Linked DNA regions of Coturnix japonica. The protein of the gene in region 1 interacts with the protein of each later gene in a pairwise test. Links are inferred from orthologs where the notes say so. Each region holds a gene or a part of one and is shown on either strand. Other genes may lie near its edges.

Evidence for each region.
Region 2: the proteins of FKBP8 (region 1) and ZFYVE27 interact in binary tests that used the Homo sapiens proteins (3 or more experiments, as listed by UniProt). The link is inferred for Coturnix japonica from reciprocal best matches to the Homo sapiens genes FKBP8 and ZFYVE27.

The regions. Positions count from the first base shown.
Region 1 is NC_029543.1:2,932,650-2,937,031, forward strand, and holds the start of FKBP8 (peptidyl-prolyl cis-trans isomerase FKBP8), read left to right. Parts: upstream 1-1,408; 5' UTR 1,409-1,414; coding exon 1,415-1,455; intron 1,456-1,493; exon of another isoform or gene 1,494-1,609; intron 1,610-1,728; coding exon 1,729-2,033; intron 2,034-2,166; coding exon 2,167-2,336; intron 2,337-2,467; coding exon 2,468-2,556; intron 2,557-2,663; coding exon 2,664-2,881; intron 2,882-2,955; coding exon 2,956-3,128; intron 3,129-3,221; coding exon 3,222-3,299; intron 3,300-4,382. Other genes in the region: KXD1 (kxDL motif-containing protein 1), read right to left, coding at 1-93, 370-416, 513-665, 749-843. UniProt on the Homo sapiens protein: Constitutively inactive PPiase, which becomes active when bound to calmodulin and calcium. Seems to act as a chaperone for BCL2, targets it to the mitochondria and modulates its phosphorylation state.
Region 2 is NC_029521.1:19,457,204-19,461,679, forward strand, and holds the start of ZFYVE27 (protrudin), read right to left. Parts: upstream 3,027-4,476; 5' UTR 2,999-3,026; coding exon 2,790-2,998; intron 2,716-2,789; coding exon 2,645-2,715; intron 2,419-2,644; coding exon 2,232-2,418; intron 2,112-2,231; coding exon 2,016-2,111; intron 1,856-2,015; coding exon 1,743-1,855; intron 1,660-1,742; coding exon 1,529-1,659; intron 1,177-1,528; coding exon 1,105-1,176; intron 938-1,104; coding exon 917-937; intron 730-916; coding exon 585-729; intron 320-584; coding exon 273-319; intron 1-272. UniProt on the Homo sapiens protein: Key regulator of RAB11-dependent vesicular trafficking during neurite extension through polarized membrane transport. Promotes axonal elongation and contributes to the establishment of neuronal cell polarity.

The DNA.
Region 1 (4,382 bases):
TGCTCTGCTCAGAGGTAGCAATGGTGGTTGTCGTGCTCTTCGGAACCGGGTCGAAGTCGTCGTCATCTTCTAGAATAGGAGATTCGTGTATGTCTGGAAAGGAAGAAGTAGATGTTAATAACTGCTGTAGATACAAACAGCAACATGATGCACTGCAAGGCCAGCCACACTCTGGCAGAAGGATTTTAATCAACAATTGTAATCAACAAAATCAGACCCCATTGCATTTGTGGCTTTGTGATTTCCTACACAATACATTGGATTGTTAACACAGCAGCTGCATGCTGGCAGTCCCAAACTCCCCATTGAAGGCACATTCTGAGGAGGGGGAACCTTGACGAAGGAAGAAGAACCTGAGGAAGCACTCACTGCTGAAAGCCTCCGGGTACTGCTTGGCCAGCTTCCCCTTCAGCGCCCTGCAGGAGGAGAGAGCCACGTTCACAGCTGGACACACACACAGACCCCTTCCATCCTTGGGGTCCCTCACACCATCCCCTCCCAGCTCTTCCTACCGGATCCGACGGAAGATGCTGTCGAGATCCTTCTTCATCTCCACCAACGTCTTGGTGTGGTGCAGGAAGCGCTCGTTCATCTGCTGCATTCGGATGCTCGACAGGTTGTTGAAGTTGAGCAGCATCTCGTTCGTCTTCTCAAAACGATCCAACCTGCGGGGGGGGGGCAGCAGTTCCCGGTGTTATATGAGCGCACCGGGGGCTGCCCCCGCTCACGGGACCCCCCCGGGACTCACATGTTCTTCTGAGCCTGGATGATCGCGTTCACATCCTCGGTGTTCACCATGCCCAGCACCCGCCCGCAGAACACCCGCGAGGCCGTGGGCTCCATCGCACCGCTGCCTCTAAGGGATCCCCGGCCCCCGCAGTGCCCGGTAACGGAACCCCCCCCCCCAAACCCGGACTCGGTATCTCCGTCCGTCCCTCGGCAGCACCGGGGCCGCTCCTTTTCCGTCTCCCTTCACATGACGGGAGAGGAACCGGCGGCCGCTCCTCGCTTCCGGGTGCGGGGTCACGTCGAGCGCGACCCCGTGGCGTCACCGCGCGTGTGCGTCACGGCGCCGGGCCGGAAGTGGTGGCGATTGGGTCTAGTGAAGGGACCGGGTCTGTCCCGGTACCGGAAAACGAACCCGGGGCTGTTCTGTGCGATGGACCGACCTCGCAGGGATTGAGAGGTCCGGGAAAGCTCCGTGGGCCTCCAGCACCCACAGTCGTTAGAGGCGGTGCACCGAGAGCTGCCGGGGTGACGGGCGGCGGGGACACCGGCCCGGTTGGGGTTCCGGACCCGCGGAGCAGGTTCGGTGCTGCGGCCCCTTTAAGACCGCGGCGCGCCGTTCTCGACGCGCCGATGAGGAACGTCGGCGTCACCCAATGGCCTGAGGGGGGCGGGAGGCAGCGGCCCAATGGGAGCGCGGGGGCGGGGCCAGCGGGCGCGGGTTGGCGGGTAGGTGGGAGCGGGGGGCGCGCGGCCGTTGCCAGGGGAGTCCCCGCGCGTGGCGGGAACGTGACGGGGGGACCCCCCGGCGGGCGCGCGCGCGGGAGAAAAGCACGTGGTGGAGGAGAGGGGCGCGGGGCGGGGCTTCCAGGGGCCGGAACCGGTGAGTGGGGCCTCCCCGGGCCGGCCCCGGCGGAAGGGCGCTGTGCGAGCCCGAGCCGCTCGGGTGGTGTTAGACGCCTCATCGCGGTGTCCGCAGTTTGCTGTTTGTATCTCCCGCAGGTCGCTACTCTCTCCCTGCTCTGCCGCCATGGCTTCCAGCGGAGAGGAGACGAGCAGCGGCTCCCCCGGCCGGGCGGGCAGCGGCACCGAACCGCCCAGCCCGGAATCGGCCGCAGCCTGCTCCGCTCAGCTGGACAGTATGGAGGATTTCGAGGTTCTGGAGGAGGACGAGGATGATCTGAGCGAGCTGCCGCCGCTGGAGGACGTGGGACGGGCACGGGGACCGCTGCAGGAGGACGCCCAGTCCGCAGAGCAAGGCCCAGGGGAAGCAGCTGAGGACCCCCAGGAGTGGCTCGATGTCTTGGGTGAGAGCAGGGCAGGAGGGCAGCAGGGCATTCCCAAGATGCTTTGGCGACCACGGAGGCTGAGGTTGGGTTGGGAGTGAGGTTCTCCCCTTCCCTACTATGGGCTGACCACCTCTGGCTTCTCTTGGCCCAGGGAGTGGTTTGCTTAAGAAGAAGACACTCGTGCCAGGTCAGGGGGTGGAGAGCCGCCCCCACAAAGGCCAGGAGGTGACTGTCCGTCTGAGGGCCACACTGGACGATGGCACTGTGGTGGAGGAGAACCCCAGCCTCACCTTTACCCTGGGAGACTGTGATGTATTGCAGGTGGGGCTTGGAGGAAGCTGCTCTGATGTGTGCAACTTCACCCTGGGGGGAGACATGGGGTTGGCAATGTCCTTGTTGGAGTCAGGGTTGGTTGCTTTGCTCATCTTCTCCTGCAACATTGCTCCCTGTAGGCTCTGGACCTCTGTGTACAGCTTATGGAGATGAGAGAAACTGCTTTGATTACATCAGATGCCAAGTATTGCTATGGTGCACAGGGCAGGTGAGCATGGAGAGTGTGGAATGGGATAGGGTGGGCCCAAACAGGGCTATGACAACTATCCCCATTCCCCACTACCACGGCCTGATCACAGCTTTGTGCCACTGCAGGAGCCCTGACATCCCACCCAACGCAGCCCTCACGCTGGAGGTCGAGCTGCTGGAGGCTCGGGATGCACCAGACCTGGAGCTGCTCAGTGGGAAGGAAAAGATAGACCTGGCCAACCGCAAGCGGGAGCGAGGTAACTTCTACTACCAGCAGGCAGATTATGTGTTGGCCATCAATTCCTATGACATCGCTCTCAAAGTCATCGGCTCCAGTTCCAAAGGTACCCCTTTCTGCTGTGAGCGAGGGCTGCCTGTGCTTCCTTCCTGTTGTAACTCACCTCTGGGGTCTTTGCAGTTGATTTCACCCCGGATGAGGAGGCTGAGCTGCTGGATGTGAAGGTGAAATGTCTCAACAATCTGGCAGCCTCTCAGCTTAAACTGGACCATTATGAGGCGGCCCTGAAGTCCTGTAACCTTGTTCTGGAGCACCAGCCAGGGAACATCAAGGCACTTTTCCGGAAGGGCAAGGTGAGCTGCTGCCATCCCTGCACTTCAGCAGGGCTGGGGAGGCGCAGGGACCAGACCTCAGTCACCTCCCTCAACCCCCACCTCATCTTCCAGGTCCTGGCCCAGCAGGGCGAGTACAGAGAGGCCATCCCCATCCTAAAGGCAGCTTTGAAGCTGGAGCCTTCAAACAAGGTAGGCTGGGTGTTCTCATGGCTCTGGCCTTGTGGCCGTGTTCCTACAAACCTCAGTGTACCCCATAGCTGTCACCAGTCTCCTTTGTGTGTGGCCAGGGCAGCTGTGGGGTGGTGTACCAAGTGCCAGCACCTGGTGCTGCAATACCTGAACGTGGCTGAGCTCGTGGGTTCCTTATCTCCATGTTGCAAGACTCTCTTTTTGCCCTTTGGCCCTTGTGGTAGCAGGGATCTCTGCCAGCCCATCTCTGCTTCAGCAGCTCTGCCTGCACGGTCTGGCTTCCCTGTGGCTTGTGCCATTGCTGTGAGAAGCGAGGCAGAGCAAGTTCTTGTCATCTCACTCAGCAGTCTGCAGTGTGATTCATTGGGTGGCCCCAGCAAACCCAAGCCTCAGTCCAGCACCCAGGCCGGAGCAATCTCTGGGTCAGGAATTTCCTGTTAGTTAATGATCAGCTGCAGGACTGAAGCCTCAGGGAAGTCAAAAGCCTCAGCAGTGCCAGGAAGTGGCTCCAGCAAAAGCAGGGCTGGGAGCAGCAGGGGAGGTGCTGCCTGCAGTGGGGGCATTGCTCCTTCATTGGCTTCTCGGTTTTATCCGCCTCTTTGTGGCCATTCCACCAAAACATCACAGTTCACCTCGTGTTCCCTGGTGCCTGAAGGTCACGGGCAGCATGAGGCCCTGCAGGTGCTCAATAGCCTTCAGAGCTCCCAGGCACCTTGTGGTGTGAGAGCCCTCATGAGGAAGGGTATATGGGATCTCAAAGTAGCACTTGGGCTGCTTGTAAGAGGTAGAGGAGCAGAACTGGGACTACAGGGATGGGGGATGCTCTCCCTGCTTGTCCTTTGTGTCATTGCTGCTGGCAGGGCTGCAGCTCATCAGCCCATCTGGGTGAAGCTTTTAATTGAAAAGGAGCAAAAATCAAACTGCCTGGCAGTGACGTTACCAATGAAACCACAAACAAATGATTGGCCTTTCCAGCTGCTTGCTGAGATTCGCAGGGATGTGGCAGTGCAGCTTTAAACACACAGTGGTGAGTCACAGCTAAGGCTACCGGTGGTGAGAACAGACTCAAGAAATGATCAGCTC
Region 2 (4,476 bases), on another chromosome or scaffold:
CAAGAATGGGCCAAACTAGGGTGCAGGAGCAGGTGCCTTGCATGGCAGCATTGAGGTTTGGCTTCAGGCAGCTTCCAGAGAAATAAAAGGCAAAAAGGCTCCTTGCCACCATTTAGGTATGAAACAACACCCAGCACTTAGATGAAGTCATCCACTGTTGGGTCATGACTGAAAACAGCCATCCTAGCTACAAGAAAAGCCAGGTCAAGCCAGACACAACACAGAACTTCTGCCCCAGTGTGGCTAGTGAGCTGGAGAAACTGAAGACTCACCCTCTTCTTCAGCACAGAAAAGGTGGCTCCACAGCCTGTACAGCTCCCTAGAAGAGAAAGATAAGAGGTCAGGCAGGGTTCTGATACTTGGGACCCTAAGGCACAAGAGCACCCACATTTGTTGTACAGACCCTCCCAACCCTGCTGTCCCCAGGAGAGCTACAAATACCCTTTCCATTGGGGGAAAGAGTCACTAAGGTGCCAGGACAAAGTAACACGTCACTTTGTCCTCTCACAGTTCAGTGGTCACCAACAGCAGCACAGACCCCACAGTGCTGAGGTTCCCCAGACAACACTTGCTCTCGGCCTTACCAAAATTGTTGCTGGGGTAGCGTTTGCGCAGGCGCTCAGTCAGACGTGACACCTTGCTGCGGATCACATCGTTTTTGCTCATAAAACCGTTGTCTGGGAGGCTGAGGTCAAAATCTGCTGAACACTGAGAGCCCTCATCATCCTCCTATAAGGAGCAAAGCTGAATAAGCAAAAAGCAGTGAGGGGCCATAGGGCAGCCTGCCCCAGAGACAAGCATGAAAACAGGATGCTTCACCTGTCAGCATCACAAGCTACTGCCAAACCAGGTAAAGGCTACCAGCTCCAGCTGGGAAGAGATGCCCCCTCGCACACCTCAGCACAGCAGTACTCACCATGACCAGCAGCTGGTTCTCCTTCTCCCGCAGCATGGGACAAAGAGAGGCAGTAGAGATGGAGTGAGACTGCAGAGGTGCCCAGCCCCACTCCTGCCCTCCCCAGGCATCCACTTTGCCCTGTCACAGCAGTCCTCCGCCCCAATTGCCTGACCTGCAGGCACAGCCCACCCCCACCATGATCAAACCTCAATAGCATCCTTGAACTCTTCATCAGGCTCTGCCTCCTCTGCCTCCTCCACGCTGCCAGGGGTAAGATCCTGCAAGAGAATCAGAGCTAGTCCTATCCTATTTCACCCGCCTTTGAAGTAAAGACCACACTGTCAAGGCAGCTCTAGAATGAAGCACCAGCTCACTGGCAGACCCATAAAGTGAGCATCAAAAGGTAGGGAGAGCCCCTGCCTCTCCAGGGTAACTCCACACACATAGCAAGATAGAGTGAAGAACCCAGCAGAGCAAGGCATCCCCTCAGCAGTTCAATATGGAATCCCGAGCCAGGTACACAGGCTTCCAGCAAAACTATTTTGTGTGCAGATGGACAGAAGCAAAACCAGTTGCAAGAGCTGAAGCTGCAGCTCCCACCCCAAGTCTCTGAGCCCTGCCACCCCTCACCTCTGTGCTGGTGGGTGTGGGAGTCCGGTCTGGTGGGGCATCAGTTGGTAGGGGCTTGGCAGGCTCTGGAGGGCTCTCAAGAGGTTTGGTGCCCAAACTCTGCTCAACAGAGGCCTTGAGCTCCTTTATCACTGATAAGAGGAGAACACAGATGGATCAAGGTTGCACTCCCCTTCCTCCAGCCACACAGGCTACCTCCAGGAAGAGCCCTTACCTTGGTAGAACTGGCTGTTGCCCAGGAAGAGGGTGCTGTTGAGGATGGCCATGACCCAGCAGAGTGGCAGCAGGTAAAGGATGCAGACAGAGCCCAGCAGCGCTCCGTAAAACCTGGGAAAGAGCAGCAGGTCAAGAGAAATCAGAAATCCCACAGTCCCTCTCCTTGTCCTTTGTCTGCTCTCCGCAAGCACCAAACACAAGAGCAGCTCTACTGGCCTGGTCTCTCTCCCTGCTAAGCCCAACGCAGGGCACCCAATGCAGCCCTACTCACTGGGAAGAGACAGAAGGGTTCTCCCAGTACAGCACTCGATACGCCGCCTCACAGCTGTAACACAGCCCGCTCAGGAACCCCTCCAGCTGGATCAGGCTGAAACGAGACCACTGAGTCAAGAAACGGCCCCACGAACACACAGCCTGTCCTGCTCCGCTCACACAGCACGACCTAGGGAAGGTGATGCCCCAGGACAGGAGGGTGCTGGACACTCACAAGCACTTGACCTGGGTCAGAGCCTCCTGGCGTGACAGCTGCACTTTGCGCAGGTCCTCGCGGCGCACGCTGTGGTACTTCCTGCGCAGCAGCTCCCGCTCCGAGGGCCGGACACGGCAGGTCTCCTGCAGGTAACACAGCAGCGCCGGCAGCACCACCAGCAGCGCCAGCACCGAGTACCAGGCGGCTGCGGGACACAGCACAGCATCAGCCGGCAGGAAGGTGGGATGGGACACAGCACTGCCCGCATACAGTGCACACATGGACACAATGCACACACATACACACACACAGGTACACACATACACACACATGGACACAATGCACACACACATACACACACATGGACACAATGCACACACATACACACACATACACACACAATACACACATGTACACACATACACACACACCTTGGTCCAGGGTGAGCAGGAGGAAGTTCAGGCCGATGCAGACGATCATGGAGCACAGCGGCCGCTGCCACCTGTGGGACAGCACACAATGAGCTGCCAATGAGCTGCGGGCCCAGCCCCGGTCCCGGCCCCGTCCCGCACCTACCGGAGGAGGCAGCGCACGCCCTCGGCCGCATCCCGCAGCGGCTCCAGGTACATCTGCAGCCGGCGGTAGCTCCGCACGAGGTCCAGCAGGTCGAAGGCGGCGGCCTTGGGTGTCGATAGCGGCTCTGCCGACCCCTCCCCGCCCCCCGGTGCTGCCGGTGCCGCCCCGTCCCCGCCCGCAGCCGGCCCGTCCCGCTCCGCCGCCTGCATCCCGCACCGCACCGCACTTCCGGGAAGCGGCCAGGTGCGCCGTGACGTCACCCGGCGGCGCGGCACGCAGCCAATCAGAAGAGCCGAGGTGGGAGGTGGGGACGGAAGCTCCGCCCAAGCGATGGTTAAAGGGCGGAAGTGGCGGCGGGGCGGCAGTGGGTGTGTTACCATGGGAGGGCGCGGGGTGCGCCGGGCCTCACCATGAGCTGGGCCTCACTCGGCCTCACTCGGCCCCGGCCCAGCTCGCAGGGCTGTAAGAGGCCGGGAGCCGCAGAGCAGCCTGTGCTCCTGCTCCCACCCCACGATGAGCGCGGCCCATCCCACGGAGCAGCGCCCCGTGTCACCGCACACAGGCGTGTCTGGGCCTGGAAGCACACGGTGTTCCCGGCCCTTGTATCTGTGAGCTGTAGGATATGGAGCTGAAGGGCGGGCTGCTCCGTGTGCATGGAACCTCGTGGCACTGAGATGCACGGTGCAGCTGGTACAGCAGAAGGGAGAAGGAACAGTATCCAGAGGATAATATACTTCCAGGCAACCAGTCTGTGGCAGAGTGGAACTGGGTGGGCTTTAAGGTCCCTTCCAACATAATCGCTCTGTAATGATACACAAACACCAGGTTCTGCTCCATCCCTCCCATGGTGTGAGAGGGCTGGGGCAGCCCATCCTCAGGGCAGGGGTTTGAGCCCCTCTTCCAGAGCTCAGCACCCACAGCCCCAGAGCACAGTGGGCCCCTGCAATCACTGCTCCAGGAGGGGTGACCCCGAGGCTGCAGAGCTGAGTGTAAGTGATCATCTCTTGATCCCTGCAGGTCCCAGTCCTGCTACAAAACCCCAGACACCAAGTGAGCATCAGTGTTGCTTTATTTGGAATGTGAATCCAAAGGCACCAGAGAAGGGACTGCAGTGGGACAGCGGCAGGTACAACAGGCAGCGTGGGGTTGTGGGGTAAGGCACTTATGGCAGCGCTAGCCTCCCTGTGTGTGGGCAGCCTGGGCCTTGGGGCTGCACCAGAGCACACGGGAGCCAGCAGTGTCTGGGACCAGCCCTGACACAGGGTGGGGATAGCACATCCTGCCAGGGGTTGGCCCAGGGGCTGGCAGAGTGTGGGAGCACACAGGTATCTGCTGACACAGCCCTCGGTGATGGAAGCTGTGATCTAGTGCCAACCTGGCCCCTCCGTGCCATCGCTGCTGCTAGCCCCACAAAAAGGCACCAGGTGACTGCTGCGGGGGCCACAGCTCTCCAAACTGAGCCTAACACAGGGGCTGGGGCAGTCCTTTTCTGCCCTGAAAGCAATGGCAGAATGTGTCCTCAAGCAGGGTGAGGACAGCTGGTAACCAAAGCAGCTCCAGCATGGTGCTCCTCCAACACTTCCCAGTCTCTGGCTGCCCAGTGCTTCTGCTGATCTCGCACAGCCCCGGCCACCTGTGGGGCTGGTGCAGACCTTACCACCGGAGCCCTCCCCTCGCAGACAGGCTG